5 linked regions of the Tribolium castaneum genome follow. The protein of the gene in region 2 purifies or fractionates together with the protein of the main gene of each other region. This does not show direct contact. Links are inferred from orthologs where the notes say so. Each region holds a gene or a part of one and is shown on either strand. Other genes may lie near its edges.

Region 1 (3,514 bases), on a different chromosome or scaffold from region 2:
GCCTGTCGCGGAACTCGCTGGGTGGGGGGTATTCCAACGAATCCAAACTCGGGTAACATTCATCGTCTGATGATTCAACGTGTGTTTTATTCGTTTCGTTCGCAACTATCACGACCTCGTTTGTACTATTACTGGGGGAAGTTGAAGATCGCGACACGCATTGAGTATTGTCGATAATAACGGGCGGATGAGTCGTTACTACAGTCACCTGTAATCCGCCAAATGAAACAAACGACAAACGCACCTAAGCCAACTCACCTGACTGATATTCGACGCTAAACTGTTTGAGGGATCGGGAAGATCAGAGTTAATGGTGATAGTGGAAGTGTTTAGTTTGTTTCGTTCAGATTGTGACGAAACCACAACAAAGTTACTAACAGTGTCGTCAGATGTCGCACTGACTGTGACTCCCTCACTCGCTACGTCGCCTTCAGACTGCCGCTTCTTCAATTGTTTTTCTAATACTTCTTTAATATTATCGACGTTGTCTTTGTTTTCTTCGGGTTTTGCGGGTTCGCTACCTGGATGAACTGGACTAGAACTTGGCGGAGTTGCTGGAGGTGTGATGGGCGAAGATGGGGGCGTTGGTAGGTTGGGAATGGCGACAGGTGCAGCCGGGGCTGGAGGTTTCTCAGTCGACGAACTCGCTTGGGGTTGGATGGGAGGTGGGGGCGCTTTACCTTTATCCCGGGAGGTTTTCCTCTGGACTTCGTCTTTCTTCTCCAGCTGACAAATTTTATAAATTTTCTATTTTCGATTGATTGCGAACCACTTACCGGTTTTTTGTCGGCTTGGACATTGCTAGGCGTCGAAGCTGTCAAATCTTTAGCAGTTTCTTCTTCTACATTAATTACGGGAGATTCTAGGTCATTTACTGCAAATTTTCACAATCAATTTTTTGTTTTTATTTAGTCAAAATATCACAGTACCTTTATTGTCAACTTCGCTGCTCTTTACAGAAGTGGAGTCATCTTCTATATCCAGAGGAACATGAGAAGTGCGGTTGTCCTAAAATAATTTTTATTCAATTTTTCGTTTCAAAAACTACGTGTTTCTAACTAAAATCTAAGCGGAAAATAGCAAAAGCCAACTGATTTTCTCACCTGGGCCAACATGCCAGGCGAAGGAGGGCCCGGAGAGCCGCATGCATAACAAACAAGCCGTGATAACATAAATTAGAGGAAGTTTTGGGTTTACGTTTATTATTATCACCTCAAACTACCAAGAGAATAATTGTGACAAATGATTTTTTAACATAAATAGGAGTGGTACATAATTGGAAACTAAAAAAGCTTGCAATTTTTGTATAAAGCTTTAAAACCTAAATTTTAAAACAAAAAACTTTTCAATCGGTCACTGCTCTCGCAGCAATAAAGGCCACTTTATTATATGCAACTGTTTATCTTTAAATAATTTCTTACATAAATATTTGCACCAACTAAATTATTAACTTATTTTAATTTTTTTCCTAACATCCATAGTACGATTCTCGAGTTATTCAACCATCACACAGATTAAAAATTATAAACCATTTTCAAACTCTAGCAAAGACTGCCATGCACAATAGTACAAAAACAAAAATTTTGTTGATTAACTATCTTGTCAAATTATTTTATGTATTAGAGGTCACATTAAAGGTAACATATTTATTTGTTTTTGCTACAAGGAATGTCCTTCCGATTTTTTTATTGATACGCGACAGACATTTCTATTCTCCTAACACCACGTTGTTTGCTCACAAATATTATTTATCCGTTAATGTCCACAGACGTAAAAAAGGTATAGTATGTTTCAAAATCTTGAAAAAAAATCAAAAACCTTCTCAAATAATAGCATCCATTTTTTTTTCTTATTTTGTTGCTTTAATGAGGTTGACAATTACAAAAAAAATATAATTTATAGATTTGAGAGATGGTTGAATATTTGAAAGATGTAAAAAAAATAAAATTCTGTCTAAGATGCACCCGTGTGTAAACTTACCAATTCTCTGATAAAGCTCTTTGTGCTTGCGATGTTTCCTACCCCGCTAAGCATGAAATTATGTACAAAAGCTTAAGAACCGAGTGACAGTTACACCAACAGTGCAACCCGATAACCCCACAATCAGCCCCCATCCTTACCTCGGGATCATCATCTGTCAATTCCTCTTCAACAACCTCCGCCTTGTACTCCAACAACAAATCCCTGATCGGTTTCGAGTCCAGCGTACAATTAATAAACGGATGCTTCAACAACTCGTCACAGGTTGGTCTTTTTTGCGGATCCTTGACCAGACAATTTGACACGAAATCGTTAAACTCCTTCGACCACTTCGACGGTTGTTCCAATTTGGGCGGATCGGATTTTTGGATTTTGAGTAACACCCTCATGGGTGACATTTCGTGGTTGGGTGGCTCCATTTGGGCGAATTCAATGAGAGTTATGCCCATCGACCACACGTCCACTTTGAAATCGTACGGATTGTCGCGGAAAGTCTCACAAAGGACCACTTCGGGGGCCATCCAGTATGGCGTTCCGATGAACGTGTCGTGTTTTTGCATCGTGCTTTTATTTTTAGCGGAGACTCCGAAGTCGGCTGGCGGAACATAATCAGATGTTAATTGCCACCAACAGAGTAAACAATAATAAAGCGCAGACAGGCACTTTTTTCGCAAACTGACAAAAAAACTGCAAATTAAGGAACAAATTTTTCTGAATGAAGTCAAGAACTAGAAGTTTTAACGTTAGTTCTAAAAGATTATTTATAAACCATGTCATTTGCTCAACTAATATTGATTTGGCTATTTATCTTCAGTCTCAGTTTATTCATGATCAAAATGATTAAAGCCCATGAGAGTACAGTGTATTAATAATATGACCACTGATCTCAGTTATAAATACAGATTTTAGGTTTAAAAAAAGGAATTTGACGATTCGTGAGTCCTTTGTTTCGTAATTTGTTCAATGCATTCTTTCAACAAAAAAAAAATACTATCTGCTTAAGCAGGCTTTAACAACAGCCAAGTCTCTAACAATCGCACATTTAGTATTAACCTTTTGTTTACTACCGTTAACACGACTCTCAACTAACATTTTATATTTATTTTTTTATTTTTTACAAATCCAGGCCTTCATTTATTAAAATAGTGTCGCAAAACTGACCTATGACCTTGCTATTTATGTTTCAATTAACCTAATAAATTAACCTACAACAAGTCAATTCAAACTCTAAAAAAAGGAACTGACAAACGCCTTAACTAGTCAATCTTTCATGCCTAAAATAGCAGCATGATGTCGAAATAATTCGATTTTTTCCATTTCAACGACCATATCCTTCTCAGTTTCGGGGTATTACCTTTACTCAATATCCTGTGTTTGAGATTTATACGGAAATAACTTTAGTTTTTATGTTTTTGTAAGAATTTGAAACCTCAACAATTTATTTTTACAATTCATAGAAATTGGCAAATCGTGGTTTAAAACCAAGGTGGATTATTGCCATTTGTGGTGCTTCCGGACCTCCTGTATGTGCAAA
Region 2 (4,223 bases):
TGATTAATTGTGAGGTTGGTATCAGTGGATGACAAATAATTTAACACTGCTAAAATTTATTTTTTTTGACGTAGACAGACTGAGAGAAAAATGAAATAGTTAAAATGTTTGTCTACAAAATTTTAATTTCGGTAAAGAATGTATTTTTTTAAGTACAGTGTTTAAAAATGGTTGTTTATCAAGTTGACTATGGAATTCAAGTTCATTGTGCCGCTTCTTCCCAATGACTATTGTGATTTCTCTGTGAAATCTTGAATTAAACTTTTACTCACTTTTTGCATTTTTCAGCAAAGTTTATTTCCGGGATTTTTGATGTTTTGTATTTTTTCGTTTTTGAGTTCGAGGTCTTTTGCATTATTTTGACGGCTCTGTCACTTTGACGGCATTCACAATTTAAATTAAGCGGCACATTACGTTCAAATTTCATTGGTGGCTTGATGAACAACCATTTTTGAACACATTGTATAAAATACCGGGTGAACAAAAGTGACTGTTTCCAGTACTGTAATCGAAAATGATTTTTATTGATAAATAGTTGACGAAAGTTGTTTCCTTTTTATAATAATTACAAGTGTCAAGTATTAATCTGTCGACAACCGGAAGGCACTTTTAAGATAAAAAAAAATATTGTAGCCAATTTAGACACTCTTTTTTATCATCTGTTATTTCTTCGCATAGCCATCGAGATTTTGTCGATCTAATATTATGACCTAAATTCTCACTAGGAATTAGTAATTCAACTTGATTTCAATCGCCTATAAACATGGTGATTTTGTGTAGCTATTTATTGGTTATCGAATTATTTTTTATCAATTAATTAGCAATAATTTTAATATGAATTTTTCATCATCGATGTAGACTAAGAAATTTGCCAATTTTTCTATCTTCTGTAACTATTTAGACAATTTTAGCTTTACATATGGTGATGTTTCTGTACTTGCAAAAGTATTTGGTATTTTCGTTTTCCTGACATTCCAGGAAAATACTTATCGAAACAATGCATTGTCTTTTATCTTAAAAATCTGTATAATAAAAAATGATGTGACTGAAATCTATTTTTAAAAATGAGAATTACAGGCTGTTGCAGGAAGTAAATTTCAGTTGGGTCCTGCCAAAAATCTGTTAAGGTTATTAACCACTCCATTTTTTCTAGTCATTCTGACGTTGTTGTAATAAATAATAATCACATTTTCCCATCTTATCAGGTGTGTTTTAATTAGAAACAACGTAAATAATTTTTAATGCATAAAAATGACCACTGTTAGCGTGCAATGTAAACTTCTCACGCATTCTTGTCTTGACCTACGTTAAGGTTTGTAACCGGCGGCTTTTAAAAGTCATCATGTCATTCGCTGTTGCAAATCAGAAAATAACAAAACAAGTTTCTTGATATATTCAATAGATAAAAGTTTTTGATTAAATTTATTATCCATCATGTTCAGTTGTGGAGTAACGGTGGAGCATGGAGGACCATTGTTCGAGCTGTGATATATTAGTGCGTAATGTGTAGATAAAAAAAATGATTTCTCCCAGCGATAGTGGTTGGCCGGCAGATTTAGAGTAAGATTGCAAGTCATTTAGTTGATACTGGAATTTATTTTGTATGTTTCAAGGCTGAACATGCAATCACAAATAATGATACTCTAATTTGTTGTTTGTTGGTTTTAACAGTGTCGGTAACCGGACACTAATTAATCCCTTCTTCTGGTGTTATAAATTGATTTTTTGTTTCTTGTGTCTTTGGCGAGAAATGTTTTCCTGAGTCAATTCTTTGAAACATTCTATTTGAAAAATCCAGTAATAGTTTTTGCTGACGAATGTTTGTCGTATGAAGATCTTAATTGCACGAGCAATAAAACGACAATTTATGCATAATTAACTGATCATTTGTTTGGCTAAGATGTGGGCCGGTAATGTGTTGTTATCTTTGTGGTAACCAGAAAAGTATGATCGCGCCACGAGTGAGTGTGGAGATCATCAACTTTTTGACTTCGTTATCAATTGTCACGAAAAAATATTTATGATTTATTTGTAATAAATTAGTAATACTAATAATATAATTTGCAGTATTGAGATATTAGACCTAGCAACTTTTTAATGATTAATAAAATACATATTAGAGTTTAGCGTTGATAGGTAATAGAAATCATTCAATTATGTACGTACTCGTATAGCTTGTGTTATTTTACTTGTAACTTACAAGTATTTGAAACGATATTCTACAGGACTCTTTTAAGATACATATTTTAAAATTTTCGTTGAAAATTATAGTCACCAAAATAGCAGAATGTGTCTTATTAGCCATCAGAATCCAACTTTGGATTACTAACAAATTTTGAACTCAAAAACAACTATTTTTTAATTTATTAACATTTTGAAAGTATGAAAGGTGCATAATAGCAATATTTTAGAAGATAACTTTGCTTTACAATCATTTCTTATCTTTATTATTATTTAAATTTTTCACTTTAGACTTTAGATACAATTGCTTTTTTAAAATAATTTTTATTTTTTCAGTTAATAAATAAAAATTCGATACCTGTTTCTTGTTTTCAAATTTTATTTTTGTAATATCTGTTTCAAAACTAAATTGGTCACTAGAGTCCAATTTAACACAGAATTAAACCTTATTTCTACACCCTTTTAGCACCAGGTAAAGTTTCGACTTCTAGACCGTAAACACCTAGTATTTATGGTCGCCGCACTTTTGAGATTATGTTGTCTTATGCTGGTTTTACACAGCATATGATATGACTAAAGTTATACTTCACTTTCAAGGTTTGCTCTAATATGAGATCGAAAATATTTTCGATCTCACGTTAGTAAGATTTTTCTTAATACTCTCCTTACCACAGATCTTTTTCTGATTTTCTGCATAATATAGTTCAGTCTTTTCATTTCAAAAGTGGAACTTTTGATTTTAAGTAAATAATACAGGTTGCTCAAAAACCGGCGCATCAACTCAATGGTGTGTCGTAGAGAAATGCTAGAACACCATGATTTTTTTATGTATCGATAGTATTTCGAATGAGCTTTCTAATGAAATAGAGTTTGCATAGCAAATATAAAATATTTTTCGAGATTTAAAAAATATATGTATTTTATTACAAGAAAATATGCTTAGAATCTGATAGTCAAATGGTACATTTTTGATATGTACTGATGTGACTAATTACATTAGTAATCTAATTATTACCTAATACATAAATGAATTTCATTCATCAAGAATTATTAACAAAATAAATAAAACATATTTTTTTACTCTTTTGAACACTTTAAGAAATATTGTAAATTTGGTAAACAAACCGCATATCATTAGAAAGCCTATGAAACATACTATCGATACATGTAATGGCACACCCTGTACATTTCAAGTAAAAGTCGACTATTTCTTAAATCTACAAGGTATTCTGACAGGGGGGTCACCCTGTATAAAAAGTAAAATTGTAAAAAAATCTATGTATAAAAGTTACTGATAAATAACGAATCAATGTGATCGTAATTGAATTTGATCAAAAATAAAAATGAAATATTTTTTAAGTTGTTTCCTAGAAAATAGTACCAAGTGTTTGCGATTTTTTATTGAATTTTATTTTTTTTTAACAAAAAAACTGCTAAAGTCTGATAATAAACTTAAAAATAATTATTCACCATTGTGTTAGGGAACGATTACGTAGTGCGAAACATAAAACGATTAAAAATAATGAAAACTGAAGAAGTTAATAAAATAAGTTTGTCGCTCCAAATTTTTGAAAATATGACTTTAGTAATATTTTCAAGATTTTTCCCGTAATCCACACATGCTTTTCAACAACAACAGAGTTGGTGCATTGGTTTTTGAAGCAGCCTGTAGATCCAATATGTTCAAAAAAAAATTTTTTAATGCTAAGATCAGAGCAAAGAATCAGAACATAGGAGCTGTTATAGTTTTCAAGTTCTCGCAAACTTGGTTTTGATTTAGTACCAAAGCAATGTTTTTTATTTTTCCTTTTAGTCATTTTGAAAATTATTTCTCTGTGTGTACATGTTTACATACAAATTAAATTAACTAGTGTTATCTGTGTGATGATGTAAACGTAAATGACATATTGATAGCGGCATTTTAGGTACCATCAAAGACTAAATAATTGGGAGTAAAAAATTTTCGACCAATAAACCATTTTCTCCAAGTCTGTGCATACAGGATTTTTCACTTAAGAAACTGCCCCTGATTGAAAATAGTG
Region 3 (4,113 bases), on a different chromosome or scaffold from region 2:
CAGTATGAATTGAATAATAATTTATTGAAATACAAAATGTAACAAAAAATTTCAAGACCTGGATTATACAAAAACTAAATTTCCGTTATAACATGTTGAGTTTACGAAAAAAAATGGTGAGAATCAAATACCGAAAACCGTATTATGCTACTGATAACATAACGATCAATGCCCATACCTGCAAAAAATACATCATCAGTACTTTCTTAGAATAAAAAATAAAATAAAAAAAATCAAAGTAATTTACACCACCATCACATGTTTCAGTTTATTTTCACTTTCTACAGTTTCTTAAAAATTGTTTTCTTCGATTTTTTTCGTAAACTACTGTTTGAGTTTTTCTGAAATTTATCGGATGATGTATTTCTGTAGAGAACAAGTCAATATACCGGTAACTAAAAAACTTTTACAAAAGCGTTTCTCATTATTCGTTGTTATTTGGCAAATGCAGTATATGTATTAGCTATTTTGAAAGTATAAAAACGCCAAAATCGCATTTTTTCTCAAAATTAGTTGTTATAAATTATTCATGCACTTTAAAAAATAGTACCTAATGTAATTTATACTTTCAATGAGAGATCTAATCATTAGTAACTATTTTAAAAATTCTATGTATTTTGTTTAAAAAAATAATTCAGTAACAGGCGACGTTGGCGTTTTTATAGTTTTGAAACAGTTTATTTATTCAAACGAAATAATTAATTAATATTACAACAATTGAACAATTGTTAGAAAACAAATACATATTAATTCAGTTTTTAGTAAAATTACTTTGATTTTTATTTAAGTTATTTAAGTTGTTTAAATACGTTCTTAGGACAAATACTAACGTTGACGATTATACTGTTTTTTAAGTTAAAGTACCTACCACTTAAAATTATTTTCAAGTATACAGGCTGTTTCTAAAATTAGATACAATACAAACTTGTTTTTTTAAATGGAACAACCTATATTTTTTGCATTTTTGGATGTAGCTTTTAACACAGATGTTTTCAAGCTTTTCAAATTGTTATAGGTCGATTTTGCTTTGTTTTTACAATAACTGGATTTTTTTGCCAAAACACGCTTTTTTAAAAAAATCGTTACATAAAAACTTAGAATCTCAGAAAAGAGGAACTTTCACCACTTTAAAGAAAGAAAGTTCAAACTCCAAGGATGTATTATTTTTATTAGCTTACTGCAATCAAGAAGATAAAAAATGAAGAGGTTTGTTGCAAGTTGAATAACTTAAAAATTTTAAATGGAACACCCAATTTTTATTTTTGCATCTAAAAGACCTTTAAATAGTCTCTCTGACAAGATTAACAGTTGGGTCTTTCGCTAATTAGTGATTACTCAAAAGATTTTTAACATTAAACAATAAAAAAATTATTACCTATTGTTTCAGTAGTCAAAAAGTGAAATTTTCTGCTAATAATAACTTTAATGTTACTTTTAGGCCATTATTTGTCATTTATAACAGTGAAATAATTAAAATTTCAATACTTATAGAATTTTTAGTCCCGTATAATCTCCAACAAGTGGTCTGTGGTGGAGTTGCTATGGTTGTGATATGTTGTTGAAATTAACGTTTAAAGTGAAATATCTTTTTAGTTAGTAACTTTAGGAAGTTGAAACTTTATGTTTTTAGTAATTTAGTAATTTTTGAGAAGCAATAACAAAAAATAGAGTGTTCCATTTAAGTTTTTCAAGTTTTAATAAACTTTAATTTTTCTGTTTCTAATTGTAATACGCTAAACAATTGGAACAGATTTATAAGTTTGAACTTTTCCCCGTGTGGGATTCTACGATTCTGCCTTTTTGTGTAATAATTTTTTGTGTTTTTGTCAAAAAAATCAAAATATTTTAAAAACTAAGCAAAAATGCAATAAAATTTAGGGTGTTTCATTTGAAAAAACATAGCTTTAGTGTTTTTTTATATTGGAACATCCTCTATATGCATACCCGTATCTAAAAAAAAGGAAAACTCAATATCTTTAATAATAAACAAATTATGGAGCTTTTTGGGATCGTTGGGACAGCCTGTGTTTAAGTATTATTATGAAATTACTATAACAAAAACTGTGAAATGTGACATTCAAATTTCCCGCCATGTCACACAACAAAGTAGATCGTTAATTGACCACTAGATGGTATAACAATAAAAAATTTAAACCCTCTGTATTGTAAAAGTTGTAAAAACAAAGGGACTATTAACCCGTTAGAAAAACATTTAAAATAAAAAAACTTACTTTTGAAATTCCCATTCTCGATTATCTAGTGGGCACACCTGCCTTGTCTTCAACCACCTCGAAATACAGTGAAAATGAAACGCGTGCTAAAACCAGATTCACTAAAACCAAAACTCAAAAAACAGCAAATTACTCACATTACACACTCCCCAAGCAACTGTACACTCTTCACTGGTCGCTGAGGCCTGATTTGCCTGACACTCAATACATAAATCCATAATATGATTGCGACAAATGGCACAATTATCGACCACGATATCTAAAATTTTAATTAAAACCAACGTGTCTAATAAAATGACACAGCGTACCCCAAGCCCACAACGCTACGGCGTTCCACTTCATAAAAATGAAAAATCATCAAGTGTTAGGTTATGTCTCACAAACTTACCTTTTTCACTTCGAAACGCTTCTTTTCACCCTTGGAACTGCTCGAAGTGGGAACTTCGACCTCGTCAACATCCACGTCCATTGCCGCTGCCATTTTTGCCCAAATAACACAAAATTGTGAGTTTTTACAAACGTTAATTGCCAAACTGTTTGGGGTGAAATTTCGACTGGGGAATTTTACGCGTGTGTTGGGTGCCCTTCAACCACCACAGAATGACCAATTTTGCGAAAATCAATGTTATTAACTTAACTAATGGATGGCTAACGCATTAAAATTGTAAACAAGTGTTGTATTAATTGATAATTATTTTATTAATGGCCATTTTCGTCTGACGGTTGCCGTTGGCACTCCTGGCGAAGCTTCCACTTGTGATGGCGTTTGTCGTTTAAAACCGTAAACAAAAATGCCGCATTTAATTATACCCGTAATTAATTGTCTGTGATAAACGGTGTGTTTTCAACCAAATAGCACCATTTTCCCGTGCAAGTGACAATGGAAAGTGAAAAATCCACCGAAAGCGAGTTAACCTCAACAATGGGCAACCTGCTGTCATCGAATACCGACGAAAAAAGTGAGTCTTGTGATTCAACCCCAACGTCTTCCACCGATGCATTTACAACCACTTCAACGTCACACATTGGTAAGTGTTTTTTCCAGTTTTCCTTGCGCTTACTTCAATTGTGTTCAGCTGCTGACGATCCAATCAGTAGCACATCCTCGGATGCTTTGGATTCGGGGAAACACCCGAGTAGTGCGAACCCAGTTATTAATTTAGTGAGGGAGATGTCAGGGGGTGGTAACCCATCGCCGATTGCGTCCGATAAGGACCTGCTCGATATGAATATTACGGATACTTCTACGGAGAAAATTACAGAAAATGTTGATGACATTGTTCAGGATTTGGAGAATTTGTTAGGGGAGCCGACGACTTCGTTTGATTTTACGATTCGAAAGGATCTGAGAGGGGCTAATAAAGACATTGCGATGGAGCTTGATGAGTTTTCAGCTGAACTTCAAATGTTGCAAGGTAAGAAATCAAATATTTATTTAATTTATATTAATTTTAAATGATTAGTTAATAAGTCAGCCAGTGTCAAAAAACGGGCGTTAGGGGAGCCACTAGTCTGGGCTTCAATGGAACATGTATGTTTTGGTTTCAAAATGTACTAAATTTCGTTTCCAAAAAATACAGCCGAAATCAAATATTTTATTAATTAATTGAGTTAATAGTTAATAAGTCAGCTATGGGCATTGGGGTGCTTCACAGTCATGTCTTAAAAATTTTGAACAGTATCAAATGTTAGCGTAATTATTAGCTGTTTCGAAATTATAAAAATGCCAACGTCGGATTTTCTCTAGAAGTAATTGTTATAAATTATTTATGCTTTTCAAAGAATTAATAGCTTATATATTTTCTAGTTTTATTGGAAGATCTTGTCATTAATAACTATTTTTATCAATCTTATTTAAAAAAAATATTCGGTTAAATGCGAT
Region 4 (3,710 bases), on a different chromosome or scaffold from region 2:
AAATTTTAACGGAGCTTTATTATTATTATTATTATTTAATTAGAAAAGTAAAACCTTACGTTACTCCATTGGTATCCTTAAAAATGTAGGTCCAGTGTTGCCAACAGACTCAGTATTTCTGGATCAGTCTGTACATCTATTTACGTAATACCTTAATTCATTAATTAAATTAATTACAATTATTAATTTACACTAAAATATAGTTCATGTTACAAAAGTAAAAGCACGAAATCATGCTTTCAAGCAGATGAAACCTCAGAAAGAATGTTTATTGACGTTTTGAGCCCAGAGTCTGAGTTGGGCCCTTTGCTATCAGTCGGGGTTTATAGGGGTGACATTCTTTATGGCAGTGAGTGTACAATTTTCCGAAGTTGTAGTGAACTAATGAATTGTTTTTTTTTGTTTCAGTTGAGGTATTTACAAACACTGAGCAATATTTCAGCTGAGAAAAACTCAACGATTGTTTTCCCCATTCCGATAGAGCTTTTTAGTCATTTTAAAAGAGGCAACTAATTGTAGTTTTGTATTCTTTAATTTGGTGTTACAAAATCAAAAATAAAAAGTGATTCCAGGCAAAAAAATAATACTTAAAAATACATTTACATGAATAAAAAAAATGTGTTTTTGCGCTTATTATTGAATGATAAAAATTTATCGACTAGTGACGACATCTGGCGGCATGTGCCCGCTATCGCCCAAACACCTTAAGACCACGCGCCCACTTGGAGTAATACTAATCCAAGTAATACTAGCATGGTTCAAAGACATCCTCAACCATGCCTCGGCTGGTAATTGCAGTGCCCTAAATTACCAACCCAATTAATTCAAATTCAAATCAACTCAATTTAAAGGGGAATTACCTGCACACAAAATACCGAATCACATTAGCATGACACACTAAAACAGTATACGAGTCTTCCTTTTGTTGGGGCGCAGCCCTATGGAAATATCTACGAAAAGCGGCCTCAATTCGTGCCCCATCAACGAAAAACTTCTAACAAAAGTAATTAAATCGAGCCAAAAACCACTAGTGGTGTTACTTACATACATTTCTTGCTTCCATGACCCGATCGGGGGCTCCGGAGGTATGGGGGCCCCTTCACGCAACAAATCGCAGTTTTTAACCGGAACGTCGGGGAGAGAAACTGAGATAATTGAACCAGTCTCTTGCGCACGAGACATTGTCGATTTGATTATTTTTGTATACGGTAGACCCAACTCTTTGAGCCTTTTCCCCGTATATTCAGCTTGAATTTTCCCTAGTTTTGTTAAAGTCCGGTCTTCGTCCGTTTGGCCATTAACATTGTATTGACCATGACGTATCAGAATCAAATGTCGGACTGACTTAGCTTTATTTAATTCAATTTCGCTATGAATCTGATTGTTATTCTCATCTTTGGAGTATTTCGGGTGTGATAAAAATTTCGGCGAGCGACTACAATTGACTATTAGCTAAAAAATTACCGGGTTTGTGTCACGATTACTGGTCCCAATTATCGTCCCATCTGGCATGTGGCGAAGGCTCGTAATTCGACGTCCAAGAAGCGTAAACTGTCTTATTTGAACCGTTCAAAAAGTAGTAAGTTGCGGCCCCCGAAGCCGCACACACACCCAGAAACAGCTTGTTCATCTTCGAAAATGGGCGCATGTTGGATGAATTGTAGAAAATTCAATGTTTGTTTACGGTTTAAGTGATAATTCTTATCGGGAAATGTGAAGCTCAATTTGCAAAGTGAGGTTAAAGCTGTCACAGTGACAGTTACAAGCCATTCACAGGGTGGTGAAACCTAAATGCACCAAGCCAAGTATAGGCGCCAAATTCAAAATCGACTGTAGTTCGGCTTGCTATCGCAGATGTCGCACACACGTATAGTCAATTTTAGCGAAGCTACCTATAATATCGGCAGAAATTAACAGTGGACCTGTGACAGTTGCCATTGTGTAAATCGCCATTTTGTGCTTGGTTTGTTTGGTGTTCGCCTTCGGCTTTGTTTTATGTGAAATTAGTACTGTTTTGTGGTTTTTTTCGTGTGTGTGCTTTTTTGAACTTTTTTATTGTGGGAATATAAATAATTTGATGGATCAATCATTAGTTTATAGTTATCGTATCGTGTATATTGACTAGTGATAATAAATTTTTATTACAAGTTTATTGTCTTTATTTATTCTCATATTTTATTTTTCGTATTCTTTGTAAATATTCAGCAACAATAGTTGTCTAACATCAGAAAGTGTTATTAGCAACTATTGTTGTGAATATTTACAAACAATACGAAAAATGCAATCAAACTTTAAAAGAAAAGTAACTACGGGCAATTCAAATCGCCCGCCGATAACGCTTAGTACGCGCTGGCAACAATAGATGTGCTAGTGACACTTTCGCTCTATCGGGACAAGGACAGATGCGTTTCTGTAAAACCTGTTATTCTGTGGCCATTCAGTACACATAGCAGTGGAAATAGCACTAAAAATGATGTTGGTACCATGAAAATTACAGTCGACCAGACAATCGCTGTGCGCATGGAGCCTCCTTTATATCCTGCAATTTTTTTATTTTTGCAGGAGATTAAATCCTTCGATTTACGGTCAAAGGCCTTATCAAAGGGCTTAATCTCCAGCAAAAATAAAGAAAATTGCAAGATATAAAGTAGTTAAAAAAAAAAAAAGTTGCGCGCAGCGATTATCTGGTCGACTGTAATGTTAATGGTGCCAGCACCTGTCTCCACCGACATTCAGTACACCAACTTAGGACCAAAAAAAATTAAATAGGAGTAATTTATATTTTATAGTCAGAGGGTAGTTTGGATTATTATTCACACAAATCCTATGTACCAAGTTTGGGTGCAATGTGGCGTAAAACGATTTTTTGTGCTAAAAACCGGCGTCCGGTTTACTGAAATCAGTCGATTTTTTGACGTTTGACATTTTTTCGACTTGGATTTAATTGTGAAATAATCACAAAACTCAAAAAGAACGGTAACTAAAAGCTTGTGTAGTTCAATCTCTGTTCACTAAGCTTGTTTTTAGTCATTACTTCAAGTCAAATCAATTGATTATGTCGTCATAAAACTCGTCCGTTAAATCTAACCTCAAGATGTACCCCTCTCGTTCCTATATTTGGTTTTTGGGGCCCCAGTTACGTAAATTCCACACCTCCTTTTTCCTCCGATCTACTAAAGGTAAAAGCCATTACGACTCTCTTGGAATTTCCTCAAAAGCAACGCAAGCTGACGTCAAATCCGCTTATTACAAACTTTCAAAAGTTTACCATCCTGATCGAAATAAAGACAGCGACGACGCCGCACAGAAATTTCGCGACATCACCGAAGCCTACGAAGTGTTAGGGAACGTGAAATCACGCAAACTTTATGACAGAGGTACTTTTGAAAAATTTTAAATAAATTTCTATTAATAACATTTGAAGGTTTATACTTTGAGGGGGTAACATCAGGGGTTGTACGAGACGACCCACCGTTGAACAAGTTTTACAAGTCGAGGGACACACAATCAAGGCCTCCCTCAGAATATGGGAGGACCACAGTTTATGATTTTGATGAATGGTCAAAGGCGCATTATGGGGCCACTTTTCAGAACACTCTGAGATTCAAGGCGAGGGAAAAAATGAAAATGAAACGAGAAAAAGAATTAGCCGAACATGTGAAAACGGAAAAATTGGTTTTAATGACTGTTCTTTTTGCAATTATGGCGGC
Region 5 (4,108 bases), on a different chromosome or scaffold from region 2:
GTAAAATCATCGCGTTGTTTTTGTGTACAGTGACACTTTTCCCACCATTCTTCGAGCTCATCTCGTTGCTTTAAAATGAAACTCTGAAGCTTGGCCTTTTTCATCGCCTTCAACCTATTCAACTCCTCTTTAAGCGCCTCCAGCGTCTTCAACGAGTGCCCCACGTGTCTCGCCCGGAAATCATCACGCTCCACCAAATCAACCTCCAATTTTTTCCACAAATCGTCGATCCTGCTCCTCAACTCTTCAACCTCCTCGGTCACGTCAGCGAGGCGCTTGACCAACTGGTCGTGGAACTGCCGCAACTGCTCCATTTCTGCGTCGGTTATGCGCACTTGGGTATTGGACAAATTCAAAATATCCTTCTCGAACTCTAGATTAGGGCACATCTCTAGTTCGGAGACGACAATCTCGACGATTTTTTCCTTCAGTTGGAAGAAAACCTCCTCCCGTTCCATCGCCTCCGTCTCCAGGTTCTCGACATAGGCCTTCAACTCCTCCAGCTCGGGGGGCAACGGGAGGGGGGCCCGCCCCAGACAGGCACACAGTTTGAGCTCTTTCTGCTGCAACTCGCTAAACTCCCGTCGGCGAATCTGGGCCAAAGCCTCGAATTCGTCCACCTTTTGGACGATTTGGAGGCGCACCTCACTCAGAGGAACCCCTTCGTAGTTGAAAGTGGGGATTGGGACGTGGAGGTCGCGACAGAGATTTTCGAGTTTCTCTAACAGTTTCATTATTTTATCGATAACGAATTTTTTAAATTTTTATGAAGTTTCTTTATTTTTCAATTTTTTTTACCTACCTTATATCTTGCAATTTTCTTTATTTCTGCAGTAACTTAAGCCCTCTAATAAGGCCTTCGACTGTAAAAAAATCATGTTCGGACAAACACCTCTTGCGACCTTAACGAATTTTTTTAATTTTTATAAAGTTACTCTATTTTGCAAACTTTATTTTTTTAAAGATTTTTTAAAGTTTCCCAACCAAGAGGTGTTTGTCCGAACATGATTTTTTTACAGTCAAATGCCCTATCGAAGGGCTTAATCTCCTGTAAAAATAAAGAAAATTGCAGGATATAAAGGGAGTGAAAAAATCAGTTTGCATTGCTTGGACATGAGAATAAAAAATGCAGAAATGAAATGCAGTTAAGTTTTAATTTCTAATAGAAACACATTAGATTGGTCAGGAGATGTTCTACACATGTGATATGGTCAGTGTAACAGCTTATTGATGTTTTTATAAAGATTTACAATTATTTTAATAATTTTTCCTGGTGTGAACTTGGCTGTAGAAAACGAGAATGGTGGAGAAATGGTCGACTGTAATGTTCATGGTGTCAGTGCTGCCCTCACCGACATTTGTTGACTTGTCATTTACCAATAATAATAATAATATGAAAATAATTGAATAATCCTTAATAATGTGCGAGAAGACAAAAGTGCAAACATTCATCTTGACTCAGAACGAGTTCGGCCAGAAAGTCTACAAGTCACAGTCGGACAAGTCGAAGAGGTGAAGTTGCTTTTTAGAGTGGCCCCACCTAACCTCACTTTCAGTTTTGTGATTGACGATGAGGGCAATATGGTGCAGTACCAGCCCCCTGGGTCGTTTCGTAGCGTCAAATTGGAGTCAGCGGGTGACGATTTCGACGAAATCACAACTGATGACGATTCGGTTCATTTGGGAATGATCAATTCACTTGAAAGTGCGAGCGATTTCGACGACCATTTGATGCAAGAATTGGACTCGGATTTGATGAACGTCGAGGACACACACTCGAGTCTCATAATGCAACATATGGACATACAGGAGCCGCTCCTCAAACTGCGCCAGTTGCTGGAGCAAAGGCTCGGCTTGAGCCTCGCCGATTATTCGTTCTATTTGCAGGGGACACAAATGGTGTGTGTTAACTGTGTGAGTTTTGTACCACTAGTTAGAAGGTTTTAGCTGGAAAATGACAAAAATCTCGTGGAACAGTGTGTGCAAGGCCAAGGTTTGGTCCAAATCAATGTCCAGTTACAAGCGAATTTGAAACGAATTAATATTTTGGACGTCCTTAAGCCAGCAGAAGACTATATTCACGTCGGTTAGTTACTGAAAAATTGTAATAAAACGACTGTAGGACCAACTTCTTTAAAAGGTTTGCGAGTTGCAACGTTTCGTTTATATAATAAACAGCATCAGGCTAAAAAACATACATATTAAAGATACAATATAAACACAATTAAATACTGACCTTTTTACTTCTTTAAATTTTTGGAAGTGATTATTAATAGATGGAATTAATTTTAGTAACACTGTTTTATAACCTTTCAAAATTTCTAGCCAATATTTTACAACCAATTAGTTCTATTTTTTCATACAACGTGACCCAAGGGTATGTAAGTCAGCCCATAACTTTTTTGCCATTTGAAACATTCCCATACAGTTTTCATTATCTGATAGATTGTCATAAAAATATTTACATTATACACAGGGTGGTGAGCCAAAGTTATATATTTTCTAAATGGAACACTCTACATAAACTATCATCTTTATGTAAACTATTATTATTCGTTTCGGAATTATTCAACTTTTCGTTATAAAAAAGACCAACATTTGAAAAATGACTGTGAAGTCGCTTATGAATGTTTTCCGATAAATTTGGAGTAGAAAAACTTAAAATACCTTGTAGTTTTAGCAAATAGTCGACTTTTACTTGAAACACGCAGCTAATGTACAGGTGTGCCAAAACGCAAAAAGTTAAATAACTCATTTTTTCAAATTGAACATCTTGTATTTTTTTCATGTAGCGATTGAATTTTTAATAAGCTTTCTAGTGGTATACGGTTTGCATAGCAAATCTAAAATATTTTCTGAGATCTTTCAGAAAAGTATATTTTATTACAAGAAAATTTGTTAGCCTAAAATCAAAATCAAATGGTAATTAAAATTAGGGCAAAGTTTCGTATTTTTATACTGAACAATTATCTTACAAGAAATCTAAATATTAAATCTTGTCTTTAGCAAACTAAAATCAAAAACTTCTAAAATGTCTTACTTCCGAAATGATTTAATCTAAAAAAAAATAAAAATATTATTCTTAATTTCAAATCACGTACTGATAAATTTAGTAAAATTTACATGAAAAAGTAATGATAATAACACATAATTTTCATCATTTTTTAACATGTTTTGTCTCTTTTTTTTAATAGTATTGTGATTAGGATTTTAATTATAATCTTTTTGACGTTAATTATATTTAATTTTAACGTCAGTATTTTGGTTATTTAATAATAATTGCAAGTAAAGTATCAATTTTTAAAAGTTATTTTTGTTTACATTAAAAATGTAATGGTTCTTTTTGAAATTTTATTTCAAACTAATTAAAAAAATATTTTCAGAAAATAATATTAATGTTTTTTCAATTTTTTTTAAATAATAACACGTTCCACTCATTCCTACGTATTTTTTTTAACTAAGATCTTTTTAGTTGGTGTCAAAAGACAGTGCTTGTTATTGTAAGCCTCATTTTTGTTAATCTTTTAAATTAATTCAAAATTCATTCAGATTAATTCTATCTTCTAACGTTCACTTCCAAGAATGGTTAGTAATTAATTTTGGTTATATTGTATTTTTAATATGTATGTTTTTTAGTCTGATGAATGTTGCAACTTGTCTTTATTTAAAACCTTTTAAGGAGGGTGAAATTTTATTACGGTCGGTTAATTATTGTAAAATTTTCGCCAAAACTGTTATTTCAGATGAGTTGAATCAAAGTGAGCGGTGCCAAGCCCCGCCCCCGAAAGCCGTCGTCCAATGGCAGGTCGATCTGGCCTACAAGCGTGAACAAGACCGCCTTAAAATCCCTCACGATCCAATGGAATGGTCACAAGTGCACGTCCGTCATTGGGTGCAATGGGCGGTCCGTCAATTCAACTTGCCTAGCATTAAATTATCTGATTGGTCAATGACGGGGCGTGAATTATACAATTTGACCGTCAGCGATTTCCAGAAAATTGTTCCATACGATCCTGGTGACATCTTCTGGACGCATCTTGAATTGCTACGAAAAATGAAAGTCGTTGCGACAAAAAAAGAAGACCGTGAGGAACCACATGTCATGAAA

The links.
Region 1: the proteins of Keap1 (region 2) and Slik purify together in Homo sapiens (affinity purification with western blotting; 3 studies listed by BioGRID and IntAct, with this or other methods). This does not show direct contact. The link is inferred for Tribolium castaneum from reciprocal best matches to the Homo sapiens genes KEAP1 and SLK.
Region 3: the proteins of Keap1 (region 2) and Roc1a purify together in Homo sapiens (affinity purification with western blotting; 6 studies listed by BioGRID). This does not show direct contact. The link is inferred for Tribolium castaneum from reciprocal best matches to the Homo sapiens genes KEAP1 and RBX1.
Region 4: the proteins of Keap1 (region 2) and serine/threonine-protein phosphatase Pgam5, mitochondrial purify together in Homo sapiens (affinity purification with western blotting; 6 studies listed by BioGRID and IntAct, with this or other methods). This does not show direct contact. The link is inferred for Tribolium castaneum from reciprocal best matches to the Homo sapiens genes KEAP1 and PGAM5.
Region 5: the proteins of Keap1 (region 2) and Ets97D purify together in Homo sapiens (affinity purification with western blotting; 3 studies listed by BioGRID). This does not show direct contact. The link is inferred for Tribolium castaneum from reciprocal best matches to the Homo sapiens genes KEAP1 and GABPA.

The regions. Positions count from the first base shown.
Region 1 is NC_087397.1:2,857,074-2,860,587, reverse strand, and holds part of Slik (STE20-like serine/threonine-protein kinase), read right to left. Parts: intron 2,576-3,514; coding exon 2,121-2,575; intron 1,009-2,120; coding exon 930-1,008; intron 875-929; coding exon 777-874; intron 727-776; coding exon 259-726; intron 209-258; coding exon 1-208. UniProt on the Homo sapiens protein: Mediates apoptosis and actin stress fiber dissolution.
Region 2 is NC_087395.1:20,688,621-20,692,843, forward strand, and holds the start of Keap1 (kelch-like ECH-associated protein 1B), read left to right. Parts: upstream 1-1,421; 5' UTR 1,422-1,519; coding exon 1,520-1,560; intron 1,561-4,223. UniProt on the Homo sapiens protein: Substrate-specific adapter of a BCR (BTB-CUL3-RBX1) E3 ubiquitin ligase complex that regulates the response to oxidative stress by targeting NFE2L2/NRF2 for ubiquitination.
Region 3 is NC_087402.1:12,066,278-12,070,390, forward strand, and holds Roc1a (RING-box protein 1A), read right to left. Parts: upstream 2,809-4,113; 5' UTR 2,713-2,808; coding exon 2,620-2,712; intron 2,568-2,619; coding exon 2,540-2,567; intron 2,491-2,539; coding exon 2,369-2,490; intron 2,318-2,368; coding exon 2,232-2,317; intron 179-2,231; coding exon 166-178; 3' UTR 6-165; downstream 1-5. Other genes in the region: e(y)3 (titin), read left to right, coding at 3,112-3,259, 3,308-3,646. UniProt on the Homo sapiens protein: E3 ubiquitin ligase component of multiple cullin-RING-based E3 ubiquitin-protein ligase (CRLs) complexes which mediate the ubiquitination and subsequent proteasomal degradation of target proteins, including proteins involved in cell cycle progression, signal transduction, transcription and transcription-coupled nucleotide excision repair.
Region 4 is NC_087401.1:11,765,553-11,769,262, reverse strand, and holds serine/threonine-protein phosphatase Pgam5, mitochondrial, read right to left. Parts: upstream 2,406-3,710; 5' UTR 1,649-2,405; coding exon 1,485-1,648; intron 1,436-1,484; coding exon 1,045-1,435; intron 995-1,044; coding exon 861-994; intron 803-860; coding exon 652-802; 3' UTR 514-651; downstream 1-513. Other genes in the region: stomatin, read left to right, coding at 409-513; dnaJ homolog subfamily C member 30, mitochondrial, read left to right, coding at 3,095-3,377, 3,425-3,710. UniProt on the Homo sapiens protein: Mitochondrial serine/threonine phosphatase that dephosphorylates various substrates and thus plays a role in different biological processes including cellular senescence or mitophagy. Modulates cellular senescence by regulating mitochondrial dynamics.
Region 5 is NC_087401.1:9,468,946-9,473,053, forward strand, and holds the start of Ets97D (DNA-binding protein Ets97D), read left to right. Parts: upstream 1-1,305; 5' UTR 1,306-1,420; coding exon 1,421-1,512; intron 1,513-1,556; coding exon 1,557-1,899; intron 1,900-1,947; coding exon 1,948-2,086; intron 2,087-3,743; coding exon 3,744-4,108. Other genes in the region: protein regulator of cytokinesis 1, read right to left, coding at 1-734.